Neodiprion lecontei: one gene and its partners. The protein of the gene in region 1 interacts with the protein of each later gene in a biochemical or structural test. Links are inferred from orthologs where the notes say so. Each region holds a gene or a part of one and is shown in the gene's direction. Other genes may lie near its edges.

Region 1 (4,967 bases):
TCTACAGAATTGATCTTTTCTTGTTGGAAAATGTTCAGAGGTATCCCGTGAATATGAATTCAAGTTCGAATGACTGGGGAGAGCTTCCTTCCAGGATGGCGCAAAGTATCTCGACCATGTACTTTTTGGTCCTTGAAATGCGGGAAATGTGGAAATAATAATGCATGTCAAAAAAATACGTTTTTCGACGATTTTCATGATATAAGTAAGTTTCCTGAATTCCACTACGAAAGAGTTTTGCATCGGCGAAATTCGAACCCTTTCCGTTCATTTGTTTACTTGATATAGGAAAAAAAGGTGTGCTACATAACCTTCAAAATTCAGTGTTGCGTAGTGGGTAGTATCAATCTATGGTGGTATTCTTGTTAGATTCTACGGTCATGGGTTATGTTATGTTAATTGAGATTGAGTTTGTATCGCGCTTGGCCGACTATGATGCTGTAGGTTTCTGTGTTGCCAACATAATTGTCTAGTGTAAAAAATTAGCCGTCTCAGGTGCATTGTCCTCAAGTGTACTCTGGGCACATTTTTGTAACCAGCACTCTGCGGGTAAGTGAGCCTGGGGCCATGATAAGCCATGTTGGCGATTCGGTAGCGTCTTTATCGATAGAAGTAGTTTATTTATAGTAATACCCAGGTAGCATTCTGTTGCAAGTTCGTGATTTGACCGTCACATGTGCGCATGCATGACCCTGCCGGCAGGCAACTATCTGTCTGTTTCCGCATTGTAAAAAGACCACGTATGCTTCCTTCTGGTAGGTGCCTGCCGCAGAAAATGCATGATTCATACATGCTTCGCCAGGATCGGCTTTGTGGAAGGTATGAAATAATATGTGGAAAAAATATCCAAATTACACAGATGATATGAAGGAATTCGACAATATAAGACTATGGATAGTACGGTAAAAAATTTCCGTAAATCACAAATCGAAATAAATACACATGTTCTTATAAAGTGCGTGGAAAGAATAATACAGTCAGAAAAATATAACCTGAAGCTTTACCAATGGAAAAATAAGGATATAAGTACCTAGATGGATATAAAAAAGTAGTCGGATCTCTATAAGAAACGCATCTGATTTCATAAAATATAACTACAAAACTGTACTTACCGTATCAAATAATATGAAGTGATGTATATAATAATTGGTTTATATGCCTCAGTAAGTAAAAACACGCATCAGTCGCGTGTTTCCCGCTGTTTGCTGCTAAATTTGTTACACAAGTATAATTCAATCGGAAACCGGGGTTTTGCGTATTTATTCGCATAAAACATTAACGACACTAGCACGTGCAAGTTTCGGTTCGCGCTGCAGCTCGACATCGTGCGTAGAATTACAGTAATCGTGTCGTCAATATATTGTAGCGAGTGACATTCGACTGACCCGCATGGTTTATTTGTAAGATCACCTGTTCTGCAGAAACATGCATCAACCTTGCACAATTCTGCCGCAAAGTGCTGCCGAACACGGTCTTGCATGATCGGATGCTGCATGAAATGCTACCTGGGTATAGAGTGCGTTCCGAAACTAGCCGGCTGCGTTAAGAAATCCCTAGGACAGAGTCAGAGCTACTCACGAACTCGGCAGCGCAAAAGAGATAAAAGGTGCGTAACAGCACTGGGAGCTAATTTCGGAAGTCTTCGATCAGTAACCGATCTTTCCTACACTGAGGTTCCTAGTTATTAGAGTAACTAGAGCAACTACCAGCCATCTTGGTCACTATATTTTTCGCACCAACAAGAAATATTTCTTGAAGTTGACACTCTATAATAGGACGTAGCTTAATGGCTTCGATATTCGCAAGTTCGCTTAGCTGCCGATCGCGGCTCTGTTTTAAATCGATTGACAGAAGCAGGGAGACATCGGTCCAGCAGCCATATTAAACTTTCTACGATCAGTTTCTGTTCTATGCTTCCCTTCCTCGTAAAAGGAGCAATGGATTCGCCGTTTTGCAATCGATTTCCTTGCTATTGGTGTTAAAATATGATACGTTCACAAACTCATAGCGCTGTTTAACTGCCGCTAACACCATAATCACCTGTAACAACGGGAATGTAAAATTCGGCTCGAAGATCGACTCACTAACGGTTTACCCTGTTTATTTTATCACCCTTACCACGTGTTTCCCTAGTTTCTGTCACAATTTAGAAGCTTGAAGTGAACTTTTCGTAATAGTTGGTCCCTTTTTATCGGCATCAGCGGCACCTCTTAGCGATTATTATCCATCAAAGAGTGCCCTCGTCGTTCGTTCGACAACAGCGATCACAAAGAAATTTCATTCGGCAGGATCGGAAATGAGAACGATATTGATTCTTTGTCTGTAACGAAGAAAGAGGAATGCGAGAAACACGATGTCGGACTTCGTGGAAGGTTGGACTTTAGGGCACACTCTGGGGGAGGGGGCCTACGGCGAGTGAGTATTCATAATTATTTTTCCTCGTTAATCACTGCTTACGCTTTTATTTTCACTCTCTGTTACATCCCGCCTCTTTCATCTGTTAGAAATCATATTGAGTTTAGCGTTTGAAACAGATCTCACATATTTAAAGGATGAATCGGGCATCATTGTAATTAAAACCGAGACGGGAGACAAAACCATTCTAAACATCTCCAGTATTATTTGGCCCATGATGATAAACACGGATAAAACATCATCCTTACAACCTGATAGAAATGATTTGAGTACATTCAAGTAGCACAAGCCAAGATATACCAACGATTCGAGGAAAAGTTTTATAATTATCACATTTGAAGTGATCAATCTCTGATATTTTTCTGAAACTTAGATCAATTGAACTCGAACGAAATCGATTGAAGTCATCTGAAATTGACTTAAATGATTGAATTTGATAAGAAAATCTCTTAAAAATTACCATGAAACCACTTTAAAATTTGCTAAAATCATATGAAATCATATAAAAAAAAATGACTTCGATATTGCATCAAGATCCTTCAAAACTATATGAATATTTCTTAAAATTGCTTTCAAATGATTCGATTCACACCCAGATCTTCGTCATCACAATACGCACGAGGCCTGCACTCGCAATAATGACTTACTGGAATGTATGGAATCTTTTTAAGAGTTTTATACAGTGTGGTGTTTTAATCATTCCATGTGAATATCTGAGAAATGCAAACAGATGTTTTATTTAAAAGTTTGAGTGCTACAAGAGGGAAAAATGATGTTGATATGAATCGAGTTTTGGATTGTGTTTTTTTGTTGAGATTTTGTAAGTAACATCTAATTTTAAATAGAGAGTTTGTATTTTGGATATGAGCAACTAATATCGAGATCAAAGACAAGTTTAAGGTCACAGATGTTTTTTCTCTCTTTCTTTACTTCAGCCTCACATATTCATTGTCTCCCACCATTGCTGATAAGTTTCTTTACGGACACAAAATTGGTATGTTCGTAACGATGCAACTCATAATTCTTTATAATTATGAAATGGATCGTAAATTATGATTGCAAACTTTTTAAGGTAAGCAATAATTAAAATAGAATACATTGGAAAAGAAATTTCCATGAAAAAAAAATCATATTTTTTTGAATAAAGTATTTTTTTCGTATCTCTATTTGTATCGTAGCTACGATACTAAAGAGTAAAATTATTTTCATAACTTACAAATATTTGAATATACGTATGTTTCCAATATCTGAACAAACAATTTGGGTAGCAACTTTGTTTTGAATCAAAATTAAAATACCAGTTGATATACAAAAATCACCAATTCTTGGAGAAACCATTGAATCTCGATTTTGAGTACGAATAGAAAATTTAATTACCAGTGTTTGAAATTAATCCTCGAATTAATCCGTCTGTGGAAATTCATTTTATTTACATGTAACACCTACGTTAACCTAAATCTAAAAGCATTAGATATGAAAATAACGAATGAAAAATTGTATTTTTGCAAATGCAGGGTGGAGGGAAAATGTAAAAAGATTAGAGAAAAGAGGGTCACAATATTAAATATTCATAAAACCAAAAGTCCATTTTATAGAAATTTAAAATTTAGAATATCAAAGTATAGAAAAGTCAAAATGTAGACAGGTAATGTACATAAAAAACCAAAATATGGAATCGTTAGAATTCTGATACATTCATTCCCAGCCGTCATAAAATTGATTCAAAATGAAATATAATGGACATGTAAAAAAGTTATTTAAAAAATCGATGATGTGAAATTGTACGAAATCTCATCAAATCCCGTATTCACAACGAAATTATTTTGAAATCAACATGGAACCCCGTAAATTATGAAGTTGAAGTTCGTAAATTTATTGTAACGATGCGTGTTTATGAAAAATCGTTACTTGACACCTTCAGGATTGCCTGAAATTTAGTAAAGCACAATAAACAAAATGCATTAATATTTTAAAAAACCAGCACATTGAAAGTCATTCTAAAATTGAACAACAATGAAATCTTCTGATGTTTCGTTACAGTAACATTACAAACTTCAGCTTCTTTATGAATTCATCTGAAATCAATTCAAAATGGAAGATTTCTGAATTGTTTTTTACACAATTCGCGGAAATCGTGTTTGCAAGCAAAATAAGCACAAAACATTAGAATTGAATGAAAAAACACGGGAGTTTACTCATTTGAACATTCCAATTATAAGAATCCTTTTTCATATTGTTGATATCTTGACTTGTGTAAATCAAAATCCATTAGATTCATTTTTATTACATAGTACAGAGTTTGTTTAATTCGTATGTACCATAATTTGGTAAATTGCAATGCTGGAAATATTTTTAAATGGGTCGTCCTCTCTTAACTTTTGATTTGTAATCTACATCAGTTATTTGCGCCGCCAGAATCGATTTATAAGGTATTATAGTCATCATTCACACTTTCCACATATTCTCAATTTTCTGTTACACGTCATGTGACCATTATAAATTTTTCGGTGAATCGTATCTCTCACCAGTTTCCTCTGAGTCGTTGGGAATTC
Region 2 (4,564 bases), on another chromosome or scaffold:
TGGCAAAGAGTAAAGGTCTGAGGTAGTATAAGCGTTGGATATCAGAATTGATCGAAATGATATTAGGTTGAACAAAATTCTTTCTCATATTAACAACGAAGAGAATATGTGATTTCCAGCGGTTAAATGATAATTGTGAATATATCGCGGTATGGTGAAAGATGTAACAAATCGGTTGATTCTTCTACCGTTCGTTTTGGCATTCGTGTAGCTACCTGTACTTTGGATTACTCATATGATACAATTTTCATCAAATTCGTGGGGCAAGTGTTTGTGAAAAAGAACTCCGCACTATAAAATTTTTCATCAAGGCTTCGAGGGCTTAATTTCGAACGTAATAAGGAATATAATACGAGTTTTTTTGAAAAATAAAAATACATAAATAAATGACGTTTAATTGTTTGGATTAAGATCTCAAACATATCAGGTGTGCGACGAACATGAAAAACAGTAGAATCTACCAACCAGCCAATTCAACGATTTTCAGATCAAAATAATAAATCGTAATTGAAGGATTAATTTTGCGCGCGACACATAACCAGGTACCATGATCAAATATCGATGAAATCAGAATGGCTGTAATCTTGAAACATAACTACTGAATGTAAAAAAAATAAAAGAAATTGTGATATAGCTTATGAAAAAAAACTTGTACTCTGAGAAAAATCTGAATCGCGCGAGTTTCTATTTTGTAAGCACACTATATTACTATGGATTCACATTGAGTATTTTAAACGTTGAAAAAATAGATATGAGTATATATATATGTACATAAATATATATCATTGAATAATAATGAATCAACTCAAGTTTAAAAAATTGATCCTCGAGAAATTGACAGTTTGATACGATTCTGTTATTGACAAAATTGATATGTCTTGTTTATTGTGACAAATGTTTTTCCTTTTTTTGGATAACAATGAAGTCCATTCTAAAGACGCACTATCGTTCATCGTATTGTTAATGCTTTATTTTATATCCATGGACGTTTGAAAATGTAAATAAAGTTAGTTTTCAAAGACATTAGTGGATTTCATGGGCAAACATTCAATTCCAAACAATATATTGAATAATATACGAGTTAAAATCATGATAATAGTCTAACTATCGATGGTTTGAAATTGGCATACTCCCGAAAGTTGATAAATCAATAGACCAGACGGTACTGCAGAATGCATACTGACCATCTGTTTGCATAAATGACGGTAACGACTCGCGATGCAATTTTTTTCAATTTGCCAACTGACGAATGACTGGCTTCTGTTGCAGTTATAACCAATGTAGATAATACAATTGAAAGATAGAAAAAGATAACTCAGTGTCAGCTGCTTACAAGTGAAAGAATGACAAATTTGCGGTGTATTCTTTTAACTTCGTCAAGTAATAAAGAGCGAAAGGTTATATTGTTCGGCTACATCGTTTGTATTCCATGACGTCATAGACAAACTGAGACTGTTGCCACAACGGATTTCGCTCGTCCGCTCACCTCTGTGTCCTCTGACATCAGAATTTCAACAATATGTACCATCCCCCCATTCCACTGATCTCAATTATAATCACATTACAATAGAGATTATTGCCATGATTATTGCCCTACTCCTGCCATATTGTCCAACGATGAGCCAACCAATCATAATACAGGGTTGAACAATGAATCCGATAGTTTTTGTAAATCGACTATAGTTTCCAGCACTATCCGCGAGCGTAGTTTCCAATCATCACTCGACGCAGCACTGACTATAGATAAACGAGAGGCCTGTTATATCGACGCCCTGCGCCTGCCGTGTCGCCGATAACAAAATAATTTCATGTTCATTGTGGAGAACAGTTCGTGAATAGTGGATCGAATTGTATGTTGTGTGAGAAACTAGCGGGTGTATTTATTATCAATATCAGTATGGACTTGAATTGAAGTTAACATGGTATCAGGATTCTGAGAATAGTGTGCACCCAATAAATTCTCCGCATACAGCTGGTAGCAGACGCTAGCAGCGACACCTACCCTCTCTGGGCGAGCAAGCGTGGCTAATCAAGGCACCAAAAGGTAAGCCGTAAGGGCTGTTTATTTTTGGGTTTTCGGTTTACCGCGTGGCTCTTAGGCCAGTTTTCCTAGAGTCATGCGATTTTCCCTTATATTTAGTTATACAACGTACTCAATAATCATTTGACCGATCAGCAATGACCACGGAAACGTAGGTGAAGCGGTTGAGCAAAATGTCGGGCATCTTGCGTGCCGAACGAAGTGTCTTGTTATTCCGTTGGCTAATCTACGCGATTATGGTTTGTTAAAGTTTTTCACTAATATATCTCTAATTAATAGAAAAATGAGCAGTTCCGAGGAGGTATCATGGATCTCGTGGTTCTGCGGGCTCAGAGGAAATGAATTTTTTTGTGAGGTAAGAATTTTTCTAATCTCATTCTCATACAATCGTTATGATAGGTACTACCGATTATCAGTCAAAAATTTGGTGAAATCACTTTCTATGAATCATTCCTTAAATATTATGGCGTCTATTGTTGACCTCCAAATTTGCACTACCGCTGATATTACTATATATCCGTATGCTAATCGAGTGTAAAACCAAGTGTTTCAAAATTTAACTGAGATTATCATTATTATAAGTGTGGAGCTCAATTTTTAACCGAAATTATGTTTACAATTTCTACGCAGGTTGATGAAGACTATATACAAGATAAATTCAATCTAACTGGTCTCAATGAACAGGTTCCACACTATCGTCAGGCATTGGACATGATCCTTGACCTCGAACCTGGTACATATTGTCTTTTGTTTTTAAACTCTCTGTCGTACTTGTTATATATTCTCTGTGATCTACACCACTATCAGAACACTTAAGAATAATTCAAATCTTAAAACTTGAAAATCATAAGTACTGATAGCTCTATCGTCAAAGTGTAGAATTATAGGTATAGTTGAGTCGATATTTTTTAAGAAACTTCTTTTGCATCTTTGAATCTGGTGTGTTTAAATTGGAGAATATTACTGAGATGTGTACATTTTTGACTCATAGCTGCACATATAAACTTGAAAAATTTCCTAATTTTAGATGATGAACTGGATGACAATCCGAACCAATCGGATTTGATAGAACAGGCTGCTGAAATGCTGTATGGTCTTATTCACGCACGTTATATTTTAACGAACCGAGGTATTGCACAAATGATTGAAAAGTATCAGTCTGGTGACTTTGGCCACTGTCCACGTGTTTACTGCGAATCGCAGCCTATGTTGCCACTAGGACTCAGCGATGTACCAGGCGAAGCAATGGTCAAAAGTTACTGTCCCAAATGTATGGACGTCTACACTCCTAAAAGTTCACGACATCATCATACTGACGGTGCATATTTTGGAACTGGATTCCCACACATGCTGTTTATGGTGCATCCCGAATATCGACCTAAACGTGCTGCTAACCAGTTCGTGCCCAGGTAAAACCCTCACAACGAGAACTAGAAATAGTTGCATAACTGCAGAACTAAAAGATTTCTACCAGTCAACCAAACCAAGATAGTGATTTATTTATTTGGCTCTATTTAGGCATACTATTATGTGATATATACATTCTTATCTCGAGACCAGGACTCGAGAATTACTCTAAATACTTTATTTTACAAAATTTCAGGTTATATGGATTTAAAATTCACCCCCTGGCTTATCAGATTCAACAACAATCTGCTGCAACCTTCAAAGCTCCATTAAGAACTCTCAACTATAACAACGGAAAGCGTTAAAACTTTATTTAAATTTGAATTAGAAAATTTTCATTCGTATTTCGTAATACAAACCATAATTTTGTTGATAAGTTTTAAATAAACTGTCACTTGTTTTATAAACCTTCTTCAACCGGTTTCCGAGACCGAAGCAAGCGAACAAATCTATAGATGCAGCGTGCAAATATTAATGTTCGTAGGTAATTATAACCTTTCTCCATTTTACTTATACGTATACCTTTTTGTTTACTTGCCAAATCTAATGAACATTTCATTTTTTTAGTATGTAGCATAGTATCGAGATAATTTAATGTTAACTTCATGAATTCCGTGCAGTATTTTTTAACGCGCACTTGATTGTGCAGTTCGAAAACCTGTTAATTATTGATTGTTCTACTCTGAAAACAAAATATACCAATATTACGTATTTATCTATACTTCTAAGAATGTCATTGCTATAGAGCAATTTCTAACGCAATCGACAAACATCAATGAAAAGTAAACTAAAATTAGAAGTTAGCCTAATAGTAAAGTAAATTTGTTATTAACGATGAGATCAAAACCGTGTCATCATTTTCCAAATTATTAGTAGGATAAAATCGAAAAAAAAAAATGGTGTATAAACTATATTTGCTAAGCATAGTTTAATTTATACAATAATTAAATGCCTACTATAATAACGAAGGTGATCATTATTTTTAAAGTTTAGTACTAGTGAATCCGGTATTGATTTTCAATCAGTTGGCTACTTAGATATTTAGACGTAACGAAAATGTTGAAACGGACCATATCTCTGAGTGTAATAAAACTTTCTTTCGCTAGATATCTATGC
Region 3 (5,273 bases), on another chromosome or scaffold:
GTAAGTTTGTCTGAAAAGTTGCTGTACTGTGTTAGCCACATTGGATATTTAGTTTATTATCAGCTGTCAAAAAGGTTAAACGTGTGTCGTTATGATCGGTAATTTTGAAAATGGATCAGAGAATTTTTATTAAATTTTCCTATAAGATTGGAATAAAGTGCAGCCTAATTTTAGAATTGTTACATATTGCTTTTGGTGATTGTGATGCTGGGGCGTCCAGGGCGATCGTCATCTTCAACGTTTTCATTGCTATCTTGGGAACCCTTGTTTTACTCATAGCAAACTCAGCAACAGTAATGTTTAACATTTCGATCAATTTGCTGCACTTTATTCCATTCTTACAGCAAAATTTAATACAAATTCTCTGATTCATTTTCAAAATACCCGATCCTAACTAAGCACGTGTAACGCTTTTGACGACTGACAATAGACTATATAAATATATATCCAATTCGGCTAATACTGTGCAGCAACTTTTCAGTCAAGTTTATCAACACACAACGAAAAAAACACGCGAATCGGACTAATACACACTCAATATTACAAAATTCCCGTTATCTTTCGAACATGCCACGTATTCTTGAACGTTGCAGCATTCTTCAACGCACATTAGTCGGGAGACTTCGGAACCGGTGGACATGTCGATAAACGGAGCCGTGATCTCACACCACACAGGGGACATCGAGCAGCGAACCCTCCACATACTTTCCCAAGCCCTGACATTCAACATCCGTAATAACAAGCAGCGGAAAGGGAGCAGCACCCTGCTCCAGCAGCAGATGCATCACGGCAACTCTGTTCCCGGGGTTAGTTCAACGATTTTGCGAGAGTGTTCATCCCCGAGATGTTCTCCGAAGTACGTGAGTCTAACGGACCTGGACAAGAGTTACGGTGATAGTACCGAAGTGACTTCAATCGTAGCTTCGGCTTGCTGCACAGCAACAGCGATAGACAGCTGCAGCTATAACTCGCAGAGGCGGCTGGTGATTAAAACTGCGACGATCGTCGAGCCGGCCGAGGTCTGTACCGAGCCTTGGGGCTCGGCTTGTACTTCCGTTGGCAACGCTTGGGTCGACACTCTCCAAAAGGTTCCTGATATCGTCCAGCTCCAGGAGCTCAGTCCCTGCGTCACAACGCCTACCACACCTTGCACCGACGTCTCTGCTGACTCGGACCTCAGGTCCGGGACGCCGATTTTCAATTTTGACTGGTCAGCCGAGCACCACGTGCCCAGCCTCAAGGTCAACTTCCGTAACATCACCAGCCACGAGAGCAAGCGGACTCTTGTGCAACCTTGCGAGGTTTCGCAGCCTGCTATCACCCTACAGTTACCTGCTACGAGGCGAAAACATACAGGGGCGGGTTCTGACGTTACAAAATGATTTACTAAATGAGGACGAATGTCCTTCTGAAAGACCGTGGTTACACTGATCGGTGCTGTTTGTCTCTTTTTCGGATTGAACTATGTGCCCGTGGATTATCGATTTCGATTTTGGGAGTCATGATAGCTATAAAAAATACTTAAACTCACGAATATACCAATTTCTGTTTCACAAAATTTGACTAGCAAAATTATTACTGCAGAGTTAACGGAACGAGAACGATGATTAATTGTTTTTTGTGCGTACGTGACTATCATATTGTTACAATTATTCTCCGTGTAAATGTATTATCATTTCTATTATATGTGTATAGTTATATAGTACGCGAGTGTGATGATGTATGTTACTATTTTCATTTCGGAGTTGTTTGTATAATAATTATTATTATGTGAATAAAATGGTGCTAAAATTCTAAATCGTGTGGTCTAAAATCACTGAATTAGTATTATTATTATATTTCACCGGTCTAAATACGTGATGCCATAAGCAAACACTTACCTAGGTATACAAATTTTAGGGACCCTACCAGAGCTGACTGATTCTACGTAGTCTTACCAACAGTCGGTACACTTACCGTCCGCGGTGAATCTGCATTACCGACCAGTATTACCGCCGTGTTTCCCATGCGGTCCGACGCCCTCGCGACTCAGCCAGTTTGAATTGTACAGCATGGCCTGTCAGTCGCGAATTCGCTCTGCAACCGCTTGTGGAGTTTGATGAATAGGGGTGTAAATTCTGTGATAGCAAGAATTTTAGCAATTTTTGGCTTTAGTTATGAAGGCGGCAATATGTGCTCTTTTCAGTTGAATAAAATACCGCATGTGTCAAGCAAATTCTTCGTTGATGCGAGTCCAAACAATATTCCAACCTCCTATCTCGTATCGTCAATACGAAGTCTTTCGTAGTTCGCAAGGAAAACAAACCTAAATAAAAATCATGAGCAGCGATTCTACTACCGAATTATCAAATTCGAGTAACAGGTAAGTCTTGATGTTCTAACCTCTTATTAATTAACCCAATACTTGTATTGAATTATTTGGACACCGGCAAATTCGTACATCACAGACGTGATTTTGTTTGTAATTGTGTATTTTTTAATTTTATTATTCTAACCCCTTCAATTCTTATATATAACATTATTTGAACACTGGTAAATTCGAACATGAGCAGATGTAAATTCATCCTCTTGTACTCTTATCATCGAAACAATATATTTGTTATTATGGTTCATCTATCAACAGTAGCGTAGCGACTGCAGAAACAGTATGGAGAGTGATAAACAACCCTTTGGTCGCTATATTGTCGGACCTACAAAACGACACGGCGGAACGAACAATTCGTGTCATTTTGGGTTCCATTCTTAAGGGGTCTGCCAACCTGACAAATGTTTTGGTTCCCCCGCAGGCGGTAGGAGAGAATTACAAAAATCTCGAGAGACAGTATACAGGTAAATATAGGAGCTTATCGACGCCAACAAATAAAAATTGATAAAAGTGTTGGTGTGATGCGAAGAATCATTTCTCCTATTTTATTACAGAATTTACAATTTGGCTTTTTGGAACGATGTTCTACATATCGGGTGCACCGTTTGGTACAGAAGTACACTCTAGCAGTTTGGAAGTACAAGCTTGTATGCTGCGCATATTGGCTACACATTACCCACCGAATTTTAATCGAATATCTTCAGAGCTGCTGGATGTTTTGGAAGGTGTGTCTAAAAGAGTTTTGAATCTGTTTTTTAACCGTTGGCTAATAGCATGGTTTGAATAGCAAGGAAGAAATGAACTATGTGATATAATAACCTCAGGTCCTTACGTTTACAGATATTGTAAAATTTGAAGCAAACTGTAAGCCTGGAGATCAGATGGAAATAGCCAGATTCCAGGCTGAGTCTGGTGTTATAGGTTACTTAGATCTCGTTTCCTTGCCGCTCAGGGTACCTGAAAAAAGGCTTTATTCTCTACAGATTTTTATATCAAAGGTAACGTTAAGGGGTTGATGGTTCAACTTGACAACCATAGCAAGTCATAATAGTAGAACGAATAACAAGTCTGTGCATAAGAGTTGTTCAATGAACTAATTGAAACAATAGTAGAATTAATTCATCGATATCTATATAGAAAAAAAATTTCATGTCGCATCTTAATTATGATATGTATTTTTTTGACTTTCAATCACATTGCTGGTCCCATTTTAACCATCGTTTGATCTTTGCAGATCATTTTAAACATTGGTGTTACACAATGGAACCAGTCAAGGTTATGGGATGTGTGTCTCAAAATGATCGTTGATTCTTCACCAGATGTAAAATTCCTTGCACTAAAAATTGCGACGCAGATGATGCAAAGATCGCTAATTGGGCCAAAGGTGTCGATAAAAACACAATGATTTTTCAATATCGTGTCCATATTCGTAGCATATTTTCCTCTACAATCATATTTTTCTTTTTTTCATCATTAAGGAAAAATACGCAATCATAGTTCGGACTATAGAGATGGTCAAGCTTGTTCCTAGCTGGAAAAGTCTTGGTATACTATCGGCAGGCACGGATGCAGAATGGGTGGAAATTTTGACGAATTTTGTCAGCGAGATGGGAACTTCTCCAACTGCTACCAGCCTTTGTTATGATGTCATTGATTTGACAATCTGCAATAATTTTGATGGTAAGTTTAAAAGCAATTTGTAATTAAATAAGATCGAATATACTAACTGAAGAACAGTCATGAATTAAACGTTCAATTACAGTAAGTTCTGAGCCCTTGAGAGATGCAGCGTGCGCCAAAATCACGCGTTATTTAATGGACAATCCAACCTCATGTACTCCTGACGAAATAACCAGGTGTTCTATTTATCTTAAGAATTGGACGGTAAGCATTTTTTTTCTAAATAATACCGCTTATTATTAATGTCTCGAAATTGCAGAAGGCATCGTAAACAGGCACACTGAATAATTGATATTATTTTTGTTTTTTAAAGGGTTTTCTCGAGATAATGCAACACCTAGTGTTAAATGACATTGAATGTTCGATGTCAAAGCTTAAACAGAATTCATTACTAACTAGCGAGACGTGGAGTATCTTGGGAAAGATTTTTGCTGATAAGTTACAACGTAAAGAATTCCACTTCACTTTAGAGATCCTGAAATGTTCGAGCTGGCTAGACTTCCAGATTGCGCAGGCCAATATTGATGTTTCATTTTATGGAAAAGAGTCTGAAAGCATAGCTCTAGTTTTCATAAACGAACTGCGTGCTAAATCCAATGTAAACCCAACTTTAATTTTCGAGAATATAAATCAGCTCTGCAGGCACAGAGAAGTAAAAAATGTAGAGTTACACGAAGTTCTCTTAGAATCCCTGCCACATATTGGACAGTCATTTGTGAACATTCGACAGCAAATTGTCACCGCTGCGAAATCCTTGGATGTTACGATGAAAATTAAATCCTTGGATACTCTTTGCCAATTCGGAAATTTCGAAAAACGTCTTTCGCTCATCAAAAGCTGCGTCATTTCCGACTACGTTGAGCTGGCCGTCGCTGGTATTCGGTAAGTAGCTCAGTACTATAAAAAATGATTTGCAGAACGATTCTGCTCAAATAATTCAAGGAAAGATCATGGCCAGAATAGAATCCCTTCTCAAATTTACTTATACATGTATTTTTTCATTCTGCAGTACTAAAAACACGAGAATTACTTTCAGAAATCTGAAGTTTGCCATTGGGGAAGGTAAATCTTACTCTGTCACCTCTGTAGTGGAAATAATGAATCTAGCCACAGCTTCAGCTAAAGAAGAATTGCGTTTAGCCATAGTCGAATGTATGGGAGGAATAGTTTGTTTGCTTTCCGGGCGAGCAGTCATGGCTAGGTATTTCCTATGTTCATATTTTACAAA

The links.
Region 2: of the proteins of serine/threonine-protein kinase grp (region 1) and casein kinase II subunit beta, one has a biochemical effect on the other in vitro, tested with the Homo sapiens proteins (2 studies listed by BioGRID, with this or other methods). The link is inferred for Neodiprion lecontei from reciprocal best matches to the Homo sapiens genes CHEK1 and CSNK2B.
Region 3: of the proteins of serine/threonine-protein kinase grp (region 1) and serine/threonine-protein kinase ATR-like, one has a biochemical effect on the other in vitro, tested with the Homo sapiens proteins (7 studies listed by BioGRID, with this or other methods). The link is inferred for Neodiprion lecontei from reciprocal best matches to the Homo sapiens genes CHEK1 and ATR.

Annotation. Positions count from the first base shown.
Region 1 is NC_060261.1:17,307,174-17,312,140, reverse strand, and holds the start of serine/threonine-protein kinase grp, read left to right. Parts: upstream 1-1,863; 5' UTR 1,864-2,089; intron 2,090-2,288; 5' UTR 2,289-2,353; coding exon 2,354-2,415; intron 2,416-4,967. UniProt on the Homo sapiens protein: Serine/threonine-protein kinase which is required for checkpoint-mediated cell cycle arrest and activation of DNA repair in response to the presence of DNA damage or unreplicated DNA.
Region 2 is NC_060262.1:34,620,936-34,625,499, reverse strand, and holds casein kinase II subunit beta, read left to right. Parts: upstream 1-2,050; 5' UTR 2,051-2,178; coding exon 2,179-2,192; intron 2,193-2,320; coding exon 2,321-2,396; intron 2,397-2,671; coding exon 2,672-2,774; intron 2,775-3,068; coding exon 3,069-3,450; intron 3,451-3,644; coding exon 3,645-3,753; 3' UTR 3,754-3,855; downstream 3,856-4,564. UniProt on the Homo sapiens protein: Regulatory subunit of casein kinase II/CK2.
Region 3 is NC_060264.1:32,007,867-32,013,139, forward strand, and holds the start of serine/threonine-protein kinase ATR-like, read left to right. Parts: upstream 1-2,064; 5' UTR 2,065-2,318; coding exon 2,319-2,362; intron 2,363-2,623; coding exon 2,624-2,829; intron 2,830-2,919; coding exon 2,920-3,090; intron 3,091-3,205; coding exon 3,206-3,363; intron 3,364-3,599; coding exon 3,600-3,749; intron 3,750-3,843; coding exon 3,844-4,045; intron 4,046-4,127; coding exon 4,128-4,249; intron 4,250-4,358; coding exon 4,359-4,927; intron 4,928-5,081; coding exon 5,082-5,246; intron 5,247-5,273. Other genes in the region: neuronal PAS domain-containing protein 4A, read left to right, coding at 594-1,382. UniProt on the Homo sapiens protein: Serine/threonine protein kinase which activates checkpoint signaling upon genotoxic stresses such as ionizing radiation (IR), ultraviolet light (UV), or DNA replication stalling, thereby acting as a DNA damage sensor.